Styela clava: one gene and its partner. The protein of the gene in region 1 interacts with the protein of each later gene in a biochemical or structural test. Links are inferred from orthologs where the notes say so. Each region holds a gene or a part of one and is shown on either strand. Other genes may lie near its edges. The genes, in order: E3 SUMO-protein ligase RanBP2-like and ran GTPase-activating protein 1-like.

Evidence for each region.
Region 2: the proteins of E3 SUMO-protein ligase RanBP2-like (region 1) and ran GTPase-activating protein 1-like form a complex in vitro, tested with the Homo sapiens proteins (5 studies listed by BioGRID and IntAct, with this or other methods). The link is inferred for Styela clava from reciprocal best matches to the Homo sapiens genes RANBP2 and RANGAP1.

Annotation. Positions count from the first base shown.
Region 1 is NC_135258.1:17,858,123-17,865,775, forward strand, and holds the start of E3 SUMO-protein ligase RanBP2-like, read right to left. Parts: upstream 3,286-7,653; 5' UTR 3,244-3,285; coding exon 3,172-3,243; intron 2,478-3,171; coding exon 2,271-2,477; intron 1,408-2,270; coding exon 1,276-1,407; intron 952-1,275; coding exon 832-951; intron 765-831; coding exon 645-764; intron 155-644; coding exon 12-154; intron 1-11. Other genes in the region: dehydrogenase/reductase SDR family protein 7-like, read right to left, coding at 4,441-5,367. UniProt on the Homo sapiens protein: E3 SUMO-protein ligase which facilitates SUMO1 and SUMO2 conjugation by UBE2I. Involved in transport factor (Ran-GTP, karyopherin)-mediated protein import via the F-G repeat-containing domain which acts as a docking site for substrates.
Region 2 is NC_135253.1:16,789,787-16,797,481, reverse strand, and holds the start of ran GTPase-activating protein 1-like, read left to right. Parts: upstream 1-4,470; 5' UTR 4,471-4,591; coding exon 4,592-4,753; intron 4,754-5,202; coding exon 5,203-5,314; intron 5,315-6,226; coding exon 6,227-6,393; intron 6,394-6,759; coding exon 6,760-6,893; intron 6,894-7,695. Other genes in the region: uncharacterized protein LOC120327195, read left to right, coding at 1,953-3,410. UniProt on the Homo sapiens protein: GTPase activator for RAN. Converts cytoplasmic GTP-bound RAN to GDP-bound RAN, which is essential for RAN-mediated nuclear import and export. Mediates dissociation of cargo from nuclear export complexes containing XPO1, RAN and RANBP2 after nuclear export.

The DNA of each region.
Region 1 (7,653 bases):
GCATAACTTACCAAGCCAGAAATTCCAATGCTTCGTTGTATTTTTCTTGCTCGAAGCATAACCAAACATTGCGACATAAACTTATCAACAACATAGAATATGCCTTAATAGATTCATCTGTAACATCATCATCACTCATATGCTCTGCATAATCCTAATGAACAAGAATATAGAAATGATGTTTGACAAAGCTAGGGAATTGAAATTCCTTTGTGCTAGAATATTTCTGTTGTGTTCCATTCAAATTGAGAAGTCTACAATATACAGCTGAAACAGGTAAACTACGGCCCGCAGGACAAATTCGGCCAATTCATTCTGGCCCGCCTGATGCTGCCACAGACAAACTAAACCAAATTTTGATGTTCAAGTGGAAAAATAGCTCAAGGAATTTGTTGAGATTACGACTAACTTTAGTTTTGGCACAAGCCTAATGTTTTCTACTTTTGCAAAACTGTTAATATTGTTCATAAAATTTAACTTGTTACGTCACACTTACATGGCCCGTGAGTGAGTGAGTGAGATTTGTTACCCGTAATACCAACAAGTACATTAATAATAAGCCGAATAGATAGGAATGAAACCACAAACATTGTTCAGATGCAATTCCTAACAATTCATTCGACAGTATTTTTCTAGCTTCATACCTTGCATGTATCAACCAGACATTGGTTCCATTCCATATCCTTTTCCACAACTTTCGGTATTGAATAGTCATGTTCTATTTTTTCCACGAAAGCAAAAGCTTCATTTAGTCTTTCTTGATTCTGAGAAGCAAATTTAATAATTCAGTAATTTCTTTATCAAACATAGAAAACATTTTTTGCCACACACCTTCAAAAAAGTAACGTATTCAACATAAAGTGACGGATCATTTGGCCGCTTCTTCAGTTCTTGAAGAATAGTCTCTTCGAGTCTGGAAGAAGGAGCTTCTTGTGCAAGATATAGTTCCATCTAAAATAGAAAGTCATTGAAATAAGTGTAGCCAAGTTACAACAATGGCAGTAGTCCACAATATATCACATGAGATATACCTACTCAAAGTGATAATTGGAAAAATGTGAATTAATTAACAAAATAACAATATTATTCATTTTTATATATCAAATTTTAGTTTGATCATTCATAGGACATGGGATAAACTTTTGAGCGGTGTACCGAAATATTTATTCTAACGTTCATTATGATTGTAAAACAGTTTTTTACAATTGAATTAGATACATTTTCTGACGCACAAAAACATGTAGAAAACGTAACTGTTATCTAAAACGTTCATACCTTTAGTTTGTAGACTTGTGGATGATTAGGTAAAGCAACTGCCGCTTTATCCAACCAAACTTGTGCTCGATTTGGATTCTGTGTTGGTCCAGGATTAATGTGCATTTCTGCTACCTTCAACATCAGCTCGTACTGAAATATAACAAAGAAGTCCATGACATAATTGAACATATCAGTGTTTTTCTCTTTGTGCTCCTTTGCAGGTGACAAGTTATGAACACTGGTTTTGATTAGGGATAATGATATAATCACTCTTTTTTTCAATCCCTGGAGTCCCAATCCATCAGGAGTCCCAGTGCATCTTGAAATATTGCTAAAATCCGGAACCGTATATTAGCAGTTTTTGCTAGAAATACTGGTATATTATATCGTTAATAACAGTGATCAAATATTCAAAACACAAAACTTATTTTACAGCAATGGGACAGATAGATATTTTTTATATTTGAAAATTTTCAATAATTCATTCAAGAAGTATTCTATTTTGTCATTAGTTGATTATTGAAAACAAGAATAAACTCATTAAAACAAAAATAATGATCAGATACATTTCAGAAATGCATAACAAGTATAAGCAATGAAGGATAAAAGTTTGTTTTATTCGTGGTATTGATTCAAGTATGGGACAAGGAAAAGTGATCAACCAAATTCACTGATCAATAACTTTGGACAAACGTGACTGTATAAATGAACAAGCTGAAACTAAATTTCGAAAATTATCATTGTATTACTAATATTACATGCCACCATACAGTTGCTTGCTTGATATCAAATTTCTGATATGATAAGACACTGAAACTAAATTCAGATAAGCAAATGGTATAATGAATCAATGCTTGAATATAGAGTTCAGGTCGAGGTAGACTTATGAACTACCGGTAACTACTGTAATTATTTCCTTGGTGGAATTGATGGAACTTTCATTAACAGTTCCATTTAAAACTGAAGCAACAAGCCAATAAGTAGACAACAAAAGTTCAAAAGAAAATACACACCTGCTGTGGTTTGACCCGCAGTGAGCTTTTGTAACAAGCAAGAGCGGCATCGCTTCTGTCTAATTTTTCATAAATTTCGCCAAGTAGTTTGTGAGCTTTTGCATCCTTGTCATAAATAACAAGATATCTAGTAATCCATTTTGAAGCTTTCTCATATTCCCCAACCTCATTCCACCATCGACCAAAATTGAGCCCCTTTATGGAAAGCTGGAAAATGATAAATAAAAAGCATGATTTACAACTTATTAATGACAGTGTTGAGTGATTGGGTTCCTTCTCTGAGTAAATGTACAAACTTCAGAAAATTTCACTTATAGCATAATCGTTTAACAGACACCAATCGAAATGAAACAAGTCGATAGGCGCCCAGGATAACCGTTGATGCATTCATTTTGAGTGGTGCACGTCTTGTTGGTATCTTTTTCATCAGCGATATACTGCGGCGTATAATTAATCACGTTCACTAAAATTTATATTTTCAAGGTAGTTTACGAAATAATGGCGACAAATTAAGAAAGATCTAGTAATTTCTCAATGATTATCACGTTTTTCACTGATGCCATGGAAATAAAACAACAATCCGGACTTTCGGTGAAAAGCATATTACTAGGGTGACTGCATAACCCACTTTAGAAATTTTACCCGGTTGGGTCCGGAAGTTTAGACAGCTACTGCTATACAGACAGAACAATTGAGAATAAGGGTCTCCTAATGCGGAGATCCAATATATCTGATGAACAATCATAATTTGTGTTATTGCAATATGATAATTACACACTGTCTGATTCCGTCGGTTCCCTAAGAATTAGGAAAATCTAGAAAAAAACAATTCCCTCACATTTTTACAATGCAACTTCTAAAATAGATGTAATGCACTAATACAACAAGGTAAACTACTTACTTCTTTTTCAGATTTTGCATATCTCACTGCTTTTGATACAAGCGCTTCAACTTGTTCAATTGATCTTGACATTAGTAGTGGTAAATTTAAATTTAATGTAGTTTAGATACAACTAATAAAATAAGAATTTACATCATCAAAAGCCAATCAAGGTATAGTGAATCATCATTATGCTTCAGCCAAATTAAATAATTGATGAATACTGCAATGCTTTATTGCACTATTTTTTTTTGACACTTGATATGTATTGTCAAAAATATATCTATAAAAAAACAACCTTATGGTGGTATTGTAACAACCTTATGGTGGTATTCTATTATCCAAACAGATAAAACAGTATTTGGTTGATTTTATACACAATAGATAGTGATTAGGGTTATTCAGGCTATTTACATTAAAGAAAACAAACAGATCTGATAGTAAAATCAATAAATCAAACAAGTATCAACATTGCCCCCTATATATATTTCGGATTAGCGGCATGTATATCTACGACTGAGGACTTCAGCCTCCTGAGCTCCCGGTCTCGGGGAAAAAAAGTCCAATGCAAATAGAAATAAATACTCGCACTAAGAGATTTTCGCCATACATAACAGTATGCTAGTTTAAATTTAAGTAAATAAAACTTAATAAATCTTGTATACAACAAAAAATGACATGAAGATAATTTTAATAATACGCAGTTTACAAATTTTATAAATTGGACAAAAACACTGCATTTTCCTTTTCATGACGATAATGAAGTCATTCAAATTGATTTAACTCAAACAAGAATTTAAAAGTAATTAGCACAGGATACAAGACAGCATATGAAGCAACCTGATTAAACTTATGTCTTATAGTATAATCAGGCTATGCATAAAGTATGAAAGCCCATCAAAAATCACTGAGCACATTCACTAGCAAGTTTATTCCCAAGGTTTACTTCACGATCTACACTTTTCGCATTTATTATTATAATAATTACGGTAGTCAATTTTTATAAGCTATATTTTAATAACCTTGAAGAGGGAAAAATCTTGGAAATATTGCTGTGAAATCTTACAGTGGGATGTATCTCTACCAAGAAAATTCAGAAGTGAAATGGTTGAAGACTGGATTGCATGAAATCGAAAGATATATTGTTTTAAATTGAGCAAAATACATTATATGAGCAACAGAAAAGACCGACTAAAAAATAAAAGGTATTCATATTTTCAATATGAAATAAATAATGAAAATTTGATCTGATAATGAAATTTAAAGCTACACTAATATAAGAAAGAAGATCTATCGATTAGCACGTTTTTTCATGATCCAAAAAAATATAGAAGGAAACAAATATCGGAGCCAAACTACTAGTCTTAATTTTAAAGTCGCAATTGAAACTTCTTCTTGATTATTGCGGATCGCGCTTACAACTTGTTTCGCAATATTACAAGGCTCCATTCCACTTTCAGTAGTGGCATCCATTTTACCGTAATTGGTACCATCCCCAGTCATGGCATTTAGAGACAAACTTGTTTTAACATATCCAGGATAAACAGAGCAGACATTTATTCCAAAACGTGCCACTTCGGAACGCAAACAAGAAAAAAATGCTGTGCATGCAAATTTAGATGCACTGTATGCTGATCGATGTGGAATTGATATTTGTCCCTGTATACTGTTTATAGACAAAATGTGAGCTTTGTATTTTTCACAACTATGTGGCAACTTAATCATACTAGGTAAAAGACGTGTTGTCAAGGAGACATGCCCAAAGTAATTTGTTTCCATCAACTTTTTGTGAACATCCATGGAAGTACTCAGAATGTTACCACGATATGACATCCCAGCATTGTTAATTAATATATGAATTCCGTCAGGAAATTTACGATTCACTGAATCAACAGCATCCTGGATGCTCTGTTCATTTGAAATATCTAGAGGAATCACGCAAGGTTCAGGCCTATCTTCACAATTGTTCATATTAATCAACTCATTTTTTAATTCTTCCAATTTGTCTACATTCCTGGAACATAAAATCACTTGACAACCAGCTTTAAAAAATTCTTTAGCACATTCTTTTCCAATACCAGAACTCGCCCCCGTTATAACAACCACTTTGTCACTTCCCAATGAAGTGAATTGGCGGAAGGCATATTTTAAAGAAAATAAAGCAGCAGGTGCTATTAGTGCAGCTAAATATAAAGCAGTCTCATATGACAGGTCCATCTCTCGACCCGTATTAAAAAAAACTGTAAAATGGAATTTGGATAACGTAAATGTAAATGCCAACAGGTGAGAGCCTATAACAGGCAGCCTGTGTTCAAAAATATTAGAAAACAAAAAAAATATATCAGTATATTGAAATACTCTAAGCCTGACATGTGCAAACTACGGACCGTGAGCCAAATCCGGCTTGTTTGGTGATACAATCTGGCCACCTGATGCTGACATAAATTTCTACTTGCTTTACCCAATTCTGCGTAAGTTGTATTTTAGTTTGCTACAGACTTTCATTCAATAATGAAACGTTAACAAAACTTTACGTTTTCTCGCTCACTCGATTTCATGACATGCTTTTCGCACTTTTTTCTTTCTCTTCGTGCACTTGTTGTTGGCCACAGCCCATCGAATTGGGCCTCGGCCCATCAGGCTATGGGCCGCGGCCCATCAAGTTGTGTAAAGAAACTATTCACTTGGCTAACACAGACAGTCCCCGAACTCATAATAGAACTATAATGTAAAAAATCTGAATTTTTTTGTCCTAACCCTAACCTGGAACACATACTACAGGAGTATATTTTTTTGGTTCGAATATTGACAGTTTGGTAAAAATTAAAAATTTTGTTAAGATAATCGATTTTTTCCTGATGGGGCCGCGGCCCATCAAGCTATGGGCCACGGCCCATGTGACCCAATTAGATGGGCCGTGGCCCCGGCCCATAGGCCGTAGAGGAGTCACCACTCCTGTAGGATTTCATGACATGCTTTTCACACTTTTTTCTTTCTCTTCGTGCACTTGTTGTGTGCGATCATGGGAAAACATGAGGAACAGACATATATCTCAAAGTGTCTGGTGGAACAGACAACCTAAAACTGCCTTGGAATGAAATTACAAATACTGAAATAGGACTACAAATAGATCTCCAAACTTAAATGAAAAAACGTCCGTTTGCTCAAACAAATTCTGAAATTCATGATACTGTGATAAGATGAAACTAGGAAGCCCGTAGACGGATGTAATTTTCTTGCACTGCATCATCCATTATTAAGACGATTTGTGCAGCTCAATAATGTTGTGAAGGCAATAGTAAAGAAGAAATCGATCAACAAGATTTGCTTTATCATTGCCAGGTATGTTGGTTAAGTTAGGGAAAAGCGTGTTAACATGTTTGGGATATTAAAGAGGCCATTACAGCATTAGGTAATAATTGAAGCTAATTGGGAAAAATTAGAAGAAAAAAATCAGCTTCCTCTCCCAAAAGAGGGGTGTCTGATCATCTGTAAAATGGGTGTCTCTGGAACGAGACAATGTCGCTCGATCTGTATAGTGTGCCATACGGTAATGCTGGTAATGCTGTAGTGATTTTTATTATCACCAAATAGCAACTATGAATTTTGGTGATATGGCAGGCTAATGGCTGAATGGCCATGGCCGATGCACATCTGCACATCTGCACATCGCGATTGATCTTATTGATACAGGTAAGCTATATGTTATTAGGCTACAGTTTTAATGCTGTAATGCAGTAATGTGACAAGTATTACCATCTAGTTAACACATTCAGGTATTTCATGCATTTGTCAGATTTATAGTCATACCGGTATCAGGTGCTCTCGTTCACGAGACAAATGTCAGAATGTGTTTATTGTATGATATGGATCCAACTGTCCAACAAGATATCTCGTAATCGGCTGAGCGGAGGACTGTACAGCCCAGTTTAATAAATTTAAGTAGGCCCTACCGTAATTTTGTTTTTGGTACCGGTATTCTTTCTCATGTTTTAAACTTGGAAGTTTTACTCGCTCTATAGAATTCTCTATTTTTAATCTGTACCGCTGTACCGGTACCGTACTGTATTAATGTGGAATTTTCAAAATAAATTACCGGAACTGGGACCGGTATGGCTGTATGGCGGTATCTATCTTTCAGTCTTTCTATTTTCTCCCAAACCGATCGCAACACAGTACCGGTATGGCGGTATCTATCTTTCAGTCTTTCTATTTTCTCCCAAACCGATCGTAACACAGTACTGTTACCGTTACCGGTAAGGTAACACTGTACGGTACCGGTAACAGGTGTATATTATCATAATAATATTATGCTAATAATAGCCAAAGATCAGAACCGCATACACCTGGTACCGTTTTATGATTTCAGTTGAACTATTGATATACACCTGGCTCATTTCAGCCATTGGCAGATTGGCGATTGGCCACATTGGACATAGAGAAACTCTCGCGCCATTATGACAAGGGGAACAGGTTGTTTCCCCGACCCTTGACCCTGGAATA
Region 2 (7,695 bases), on another chromosome or scaffold:
GCCTTCAAGCTGGACGCAGTGTAACACCGTTTTGAAGCGCGTTTCCGAAGGTATATGGAGGGTGCAATGAGCGAGCTAAGTAACTCAATTTTTACGTAACAATACGTAATTATGTTCTATGATTATTATTTTTTCATCATTTATTTATTTTTACAAAACTGTTATGAATCCACAACGTGGACCTTTAAAAAAAAAAAAAAAAAAAAAACAATACGTAATTAATCTATTTGCTGTGATGACATAATCCATAATCTTATCATGCGCTGTAAGGGTTGAGAAGAATGATACCGAATTAAAAAATCGTTTATATTCGTTACGCCGCAGATATTATGATATGTTTGGGTTCATCAAAGATCTTTGGGGGGCCGCAGAATACGCATCGACGGGTTGAGAACCCCTGTTATGTAGCATGGCTCAAACCACAGACAGAGGGTTATTATACCAGAGCCATTACCGTATATAATAGCTCTGATTATACTTTGTGATTTCACGAGTGTTTCATTCCAGCCAGTATTCCGTTTCATTCCGCCATGGTTTTGCGTTTGTTTGTATATTAAACCACTTATCACCTTTTCCGCAATGCCCAATCTAGCAATCAGTGTAGTTTTTCATGGCTTGGTTTTTCTTAAAGCTTTCATGGCCTCATGAGTATGACTATCGTCGCAAATTTATTACATTCCACTCCCCACATTATCTTTGCATGAGGTTGTAGGTATTGGTCATTATCAACGTAATTGTTGAAAGAGAGTACAACAGCCCGAAAGTTTATTAGTATTACTATCGTGTATTTTGTTTTTTAAGTTTGGCCCAAGCCTCATTTAATTGGGCTTGTGTTTTTGTGTGCGTGCTGGTGGGCAGGCACATGAGATACTTCATGTTTTAAACTTTTTTGTAGGTTTTGCTTGCCCTCCAGAATTCTCCATTTTAAATTTAGGTTTGTTATGGAGTTTTCGAAATAAACTATCTATCTAAGAACAAGATAGATTTTCACGCACGCCGCCGCCGCTGCATGTGGGTCACGAAGTACCGGTAGCCTCTTTTTGGCAAAGTCAAAAAGTTTTGATTTGGCGCGCTTAGCAAAAAAGGTACTCATCGTGCGTTTAGAGATGTGTGTTACTGTATTATCCGGACCTCAACTACCGTATCAGACTCTGTAATTTCTAATGAAACTTTTTTCTGTGAATTGAGATTTGACTGAGTTTATGTAGTACGGTACATACCGGTACGGTACGGTAGTATGTGGACAATGCCGGTACAAGACATACGGGAATCTAAGTTTAATCTGTTCTGATGAATTTTTGACCGGTTACCGTAAATAAATAATAATACATTGTGTCAAATTTATAGCGTATGGGGAACATTTTTGGGGTCTCGTGTAGTTTCTTACCTAACATACTTCTAGTGGGCGTAGCATCATAATTTTTTGACATGTCAATCCTAACCCCCACCAGACTATGCCATCCAAAAATTACGTCACTACGACATCACAAACACGTCATAGAGCTTGTTAAATATACGTACTATCGCCCGATATGGCGCCGGTGCCTTCGTAGAGACGTAATATTTGGATGGCATAGTCGGGTCTGCAGGTGGGGGTTAGGATTGACACATGAAAAAATTGTTGTGCTACGCCCACTAGAAGTATGTTAGGTAGAAAACTACATGAGACCCCATTTTTGTTTGTTTGCTCTTTTGGTTAGCTTATTCAGTTATTCCTGTATTCTGTCTAATATTTTTTGCATTGATCGTTTTTTGCCTTATGTGTAACGCTTTACAGTTGTACCGGTATAAATTTGAGAATATATCAAAATAAGTTTATTCACCATCTGCAGATCTGTACTGGTATTACATCTGTACATATATATCAGTGTATCTAAAAAAATATGATTTTAAAACTTTCACAGATATAGCTATGCATTCATTGAATTTCTGAAAAGTGATTCAATCTGTCAATGGAGCTCTTCTTGTCTCGTGTGACTGGAGATAAAAACAGTGGAAATAAAGGTCCTGATCAATGGATTCCATTTTCAACAAAGGTGAATGATGTGGTAACACTTGGTCGATCATCAGATTTACCTATACGATTGTTATCACAACATGTTTCTAGAACACATGCAGAAATATTGAAAAAGAAAGATGAAAACTTTTACATTAAAGACCTAAATTCATTGAATGGAATACACGTCAATGGTGTTAAAATTGAGAACTCTAACTGGCATCGTCTTAGTGCTGGTGATAAAGTGGAGATTGGTAGACCTGATGATGAGGAAATTTTAAAAACAATGAGCGCCAATGATCGATTTATTTATAATGTGTTATCTGCAACCAATTCGGAATTAGACAGCAAACCACGGGGGCCAAAGACGCATATGTCTGAATCTTTAAAAAAAGATTATTTAAAGCTGCATCCAGCAAAAAGTAAAAGACTTGCTAATGGTGCTTCAAAACAAGTAGAATATAAAAAATCCAAAAATAAAAATGCCAAAATTGTTAAAATAAATGTTCCAACAGTTGACCACGAAACAAATTGTAATGATAAAATGGTACATTCCACTGGAAAAAATAAAAATAAAAAAATGAAAATTGAAACTCAATCAGAAACAAATCATGAAATGGAACGAGAAAATAAAAGATTAAAACTACAGCTCGAGGAGAAAGAACAAGCTTTGAAAGAAGAAATTAATTTGCGAAACAAAAGAATTGAAGACGAACAAAAGAAAATTACACAAAAGCTTGAGCAAAATTTCAAAACCAAACTTGTAGAGAAGGAAGAAGAATTAGAGATGAGGCTTCAACTAGAAAAAGACATTGCATTTGAGCAGTGTAAAGCATCATTTGAAAAGGATAAGGTAAATTCTTCAACTATCAAAACGGTGGTAGATACAATGGAAAATGAACTTCAGTGTGCAATTTGCTCAGAGTTATTCATTGTTTCAACGACATTGAACTGTGCTCACACATTTTGTGAATATTGTATTAATGAGTGGAAAAACGTTAATAGTATTTGTCCAGTTTGTAGGCAGCCCATATTGACATTGACACGATCTCTTGTTCTGGATAATTATATTTCTAAAGCTCTCGAAGGTATTTCTCCTGTTCTTAAAGAAAAAAGAGAGAAAATTATTGAGGAGAGAATGAAAATTGAATCTGAAATTGCCAAAAATAAAGCAAATAGGGGGCGTGGGCGTGGTTCGAGGGGTGGTCGGGGTCGAGGAAGAAGAGTACCTAACTCTCCTATCGACCTGAGTAGATCAAACAATGATGACAGAGAAGGCCACTCACGGTATCGCACTCGATCTCGAAATATTATAATAGTAAGCGATGTTGAATCATCAGATTCTGAGGAGAGTGATTCTTATTCTGACAGCGATAGTTCTAATGAATTTGGAAGGATCACTTTCTTTTATTGAATTGTAGCAACTTTATTTCACATATATAGGCAATATGGAATTACTTCACATTTATGGAAATCAATCATAGAGTTAAATTGCCAAATGGGATCAATTTTTTAAAATCAGCTAAAGCTGAAAAGCCTTGGGAGAAAATTTGACAGACAAATAAAGTGATAGCTTCTGAGGTGACATTTCCATCCACTAAAAGTTTCAAACAATTGGTTCATTATTTCAAAAACTAATGGCATCGGCGAATACAATTTTGCAATGTGCAATTCAAGTCTGTTGGAATAAAAGCCATAAATATATTTTCTTCAAGTTGAAATGATTGTATGTTTGATTAGATTTTAAAACAGTATCTCACTGTTTTTCATCAGCATTCACATGTGTCTATCTTCTGTGCCTGAAAGACCTTTTAGATCTAGCGTAGCTGCAGCACATGTAAAATATATATAATGTACAACAACAACACTCATATTGGAGAAGTAAATTTCCACGAATTCCTTACCCTCGCTTTCCTATGTCAAAATTATGCTTGAAATGATTTCATCGGACAGTGTTCTCTTATATATATATATTGCCATTGTTATATTGGTGTAATATGGTATTGAGTATTTAATTATAATAGGGTAAAAGTATTTGGTGTTCGGATAAGTTTTTGTCAGGTTGTTGTATATGTTTTTTTGCATTTTGAATTTCTTTTTGTTAACTGCTTTATATGTTCAATGAAATATGAATATTCATTGTTTTATTTGTTATTGCTGAAACATTTTCTTAACAAAATAAAAACACCAGTATGTTCGTTCTTATGATACTTCATTTTGTTCAAATTGGTTTTTTCCTAGGTAGCTTATTTTTTTTAGGAGTACGAGATACTTGAAAACGAAGGAGCATCAGTTTATCACATTATATTATGCTGCTTATTTCTATGAGAAACAGTGACCCGCTTTCTTATTTCAAGCTTGGCTACATTGTTTCAGAAAAGTCTTTTGTAATGAACTTTTATTGTATAAATATTTACTTTTTGATTTGTTGCCTTCTGCTTTCACAAAACATGTAGTTGTGATACCAAGTTGATAAAATATTTTCTTATTTTTTGTCTAAGCTATTCATTCGGTTCTCCAGCCACTGTATATATTCAAATAAATTAACTGTATAATAAAATAAACCTCTAAAACCGCTAAGAGTGAATCAAAAATATGTCAAAAAATGACAAAGTCGATGAAATTGCCTCCTTGTTACAAAAAACTGAAGTTCGACAGCAAAATATTGTCAGTTTCAAAGGACAGGGATTAAAACTGAATAATGAAGAAGATGCCAAGAAAGTTATACAAGCTATTCGTGACTGTCCAGATCTACAGGTACTTGTTGCCTTGGCCTAATTAAACAATTTTTGTAATAGATTAGTAAAAGATTTACAAATATGCCCTAACCATAATTTCAGAAATATGAATCTTGACTGAAACTCCTTTTTGAACCAGCTAAGGAATATTCAAAACAATTCGAAATTAATTATATGCAGTATTTCAATTTATTGATTTTAAAAATTAATGTGCTTTGATAAAAAAATTATCATTTTGAAATAAAGGGCTTCATTTATTTGTTAGAAACTCTAAAAAAAAAAATGAAGAACCATTAAATTACTGATCATCTTACATTTTCAAACTCATTGACACTCATCAACTTCCATATGTGTATTGGGCATAGTAGGTTCGGTTTTGACCATTCTACACCTGCTATTACAATTTTTAATTCAAAAATTGATTAATTTGACGAAATCACAGCAAATAATGGATTTTTCTATGTTCAGGTGCTTGAATTATGTGGAAACACAATAGGTGTGGAAGCTGCAAAAGCCATTGCTGATTCTTTAGATGATCGTAAAGAACTCGAAAGATGTTTATGGGCAGATATGTTTACAGGTTAATCAAATAACTTTAATTGTTACTCGCGTTATAGCCGGCAGAACAATTTTACTTTTGGTGTATACTAAACAATTGGCAACTATTTGTATTTATTGGCAGAACATTTATGAGTTTCTTTCTTATTAATGTCTTTTGCAGACACCACTCAACAGATGATATAAGTCGCGCCGCGCCATCTCAACTTTGCACCTTAATTAATCTCGCGTCAAGCAACTCCTTATTTAGAAAGACATTTTGTGCCTTCATTTTTGTAAAAAACTCCTCTATTTTTAAACGTGGGACATATAACAGCAGTAACGAAACGCAGAACTGACTTAGCGGCGCGTGATCCAGCTTTTGGTTTAGCTAGATCCCGAAATCCTAATTCTGAGTCAAACTTGGTCATTTTTGAACGATAGCACAAGGCCTGCTCACGCTGCAAGTTATCAAATTAGTCAAATATAACAATTCATCATAAAATGAGTCTCAGAAGAAAGGTGACATAGGAAAACCGGGAGTAAACATAATATTTCCTTGCCCACAACAACGGTAAACCACAGTACAGTGTCTGGTCTGCTTTTAAGTGATATCTGTCATGGAAGAATATAATTTGAATCAACACTACAAAACTAAAAACGAAAAAAGATATGGAAGTTAAGTTACCATAGTACCTTTCGGGAAGCAATTTTAAAACAACTAAAGGCTTTGTATATCTTCCTTAAAATAAAAAATGCAACCCATGCATAGGCTAATTAGAACGGTAAACTGTCATTCTTTAATATAATTACAGTAAGCTCGCGATATTCTGATCACTTTTGGGTTTTTCCAACTGTGCCCCGCTAGACCTCAAAAGTTTTTGCCTCCCTTCAACCTTGGACCACCCTGATCTCTGATTATAATTTTTCAGTTGTTTTCATTTTTTTTTTATAGGACGTTTGAGAAGTGAAATTCCTCCGTCACTGACTTCACTCGGTTCTTCAATTATGAAAGCTGGAGCACACTTGGTTGAAATAGATCTCAGTGATAACGCTTTTGGACCTATCGGAATTAAGTCTATTGCTGAGTTATTGAAAAGCGAGGCATCTTATACTCTTCGGGTACTTCTATTTTTTACGATTTCACTAAGAGTGTAGGTTTAAAAAAATTATTTTAAGACATTTTAAAAAATTGTGAAAATAAATTTAAAGAACTTTTTCATGGAACTGACTGCGAGAGGTTATTTTACACAATTACCTTTTATCCCAAACTATTTTTTCTAAAAATTCAGATAAAACTAAATATCTAGGATCAGTGGCACTGGAATGTTTAATTGTAGGTATCCTTTTACTTTGATTTTCTGATTTGGAATAGGGTGTTCCCGATTTATGGTAAACTGCATTGTCAGGGTTTATGACCCTGCGTCAAGTATATTTAAAAGTTCTAAAATTCATTTGAAATATTTTTTCTCTGTTTGAAATGACCAGGTTCTTAAGTTCAATAACAATGGCATGGGGATCGGAGGAAAAACTTTGGCAGAAACACTTATTGAATGTCATAGAAGGAGCAGTGCTTGTGGAAAACCACTTGCTCTGAAAGTTTTTATTGCAGGAAGAAACAGGTGAGAGAGTTGTTTTTGTTCGCTTAAATTGATATTCTGGTTCATATCTGCAATCCGAGTCTATTTTCAAGACCTAAATAATTAATGAAACATGGTAAAACATAATCTTCAGAAAAATTCGATATTTCCTTTTGTAACAAGAATAAAATTATACTGAAAGTAGTTTGCCACAGGGATGTCCAAAACGAATCGATTGTTCGAATGTTCACTGAACGACGTAAGTACTTCTGTGTGGCGCGGCACAACCATTTTTGCATAAGGTACTCCTAACCCCCACCTGGCTTCATCATCTAAAGATTACGTCACTATGACCTCACAATCATGTCAAGGAGTTTGTTTGCAAGAGTGTAGCTACGATCGCCGAAAATGACATCCTTGCCAACGATAACGAACTCAATAACGCCAGCGATCTCTCTCATATCCGGATCCTTCCGGCGAGAAAACGAGAGAAATAGCTTGCTAGATTTCGACTGATTGCCTGCGTGTCTTGGATGACAGTTGAGATAGTTTGGAGGGCCTTATACGTTGCTGTGACGTTGTAGTGTCGTAATTTTTAAATGACGTAGTCAGGTGGGGCCGGGGGTTAGGAATAACATATGCAAAAATGGTTGTGCCACGCCAACTAGAAGGACTTACGTCGTGTTGTGAACATGGTCCCAAAATTGGTTATATCCAGTTTAGTAAACTCTTGAACTTGGAAATATTTTGAAAATATGTTGACAAAAAAATAGTAACGTCTCACAAAATAAAAAAGAGAATACTAATTAGAACAATGTTGTCAATACTTGTGACTGATTACTAA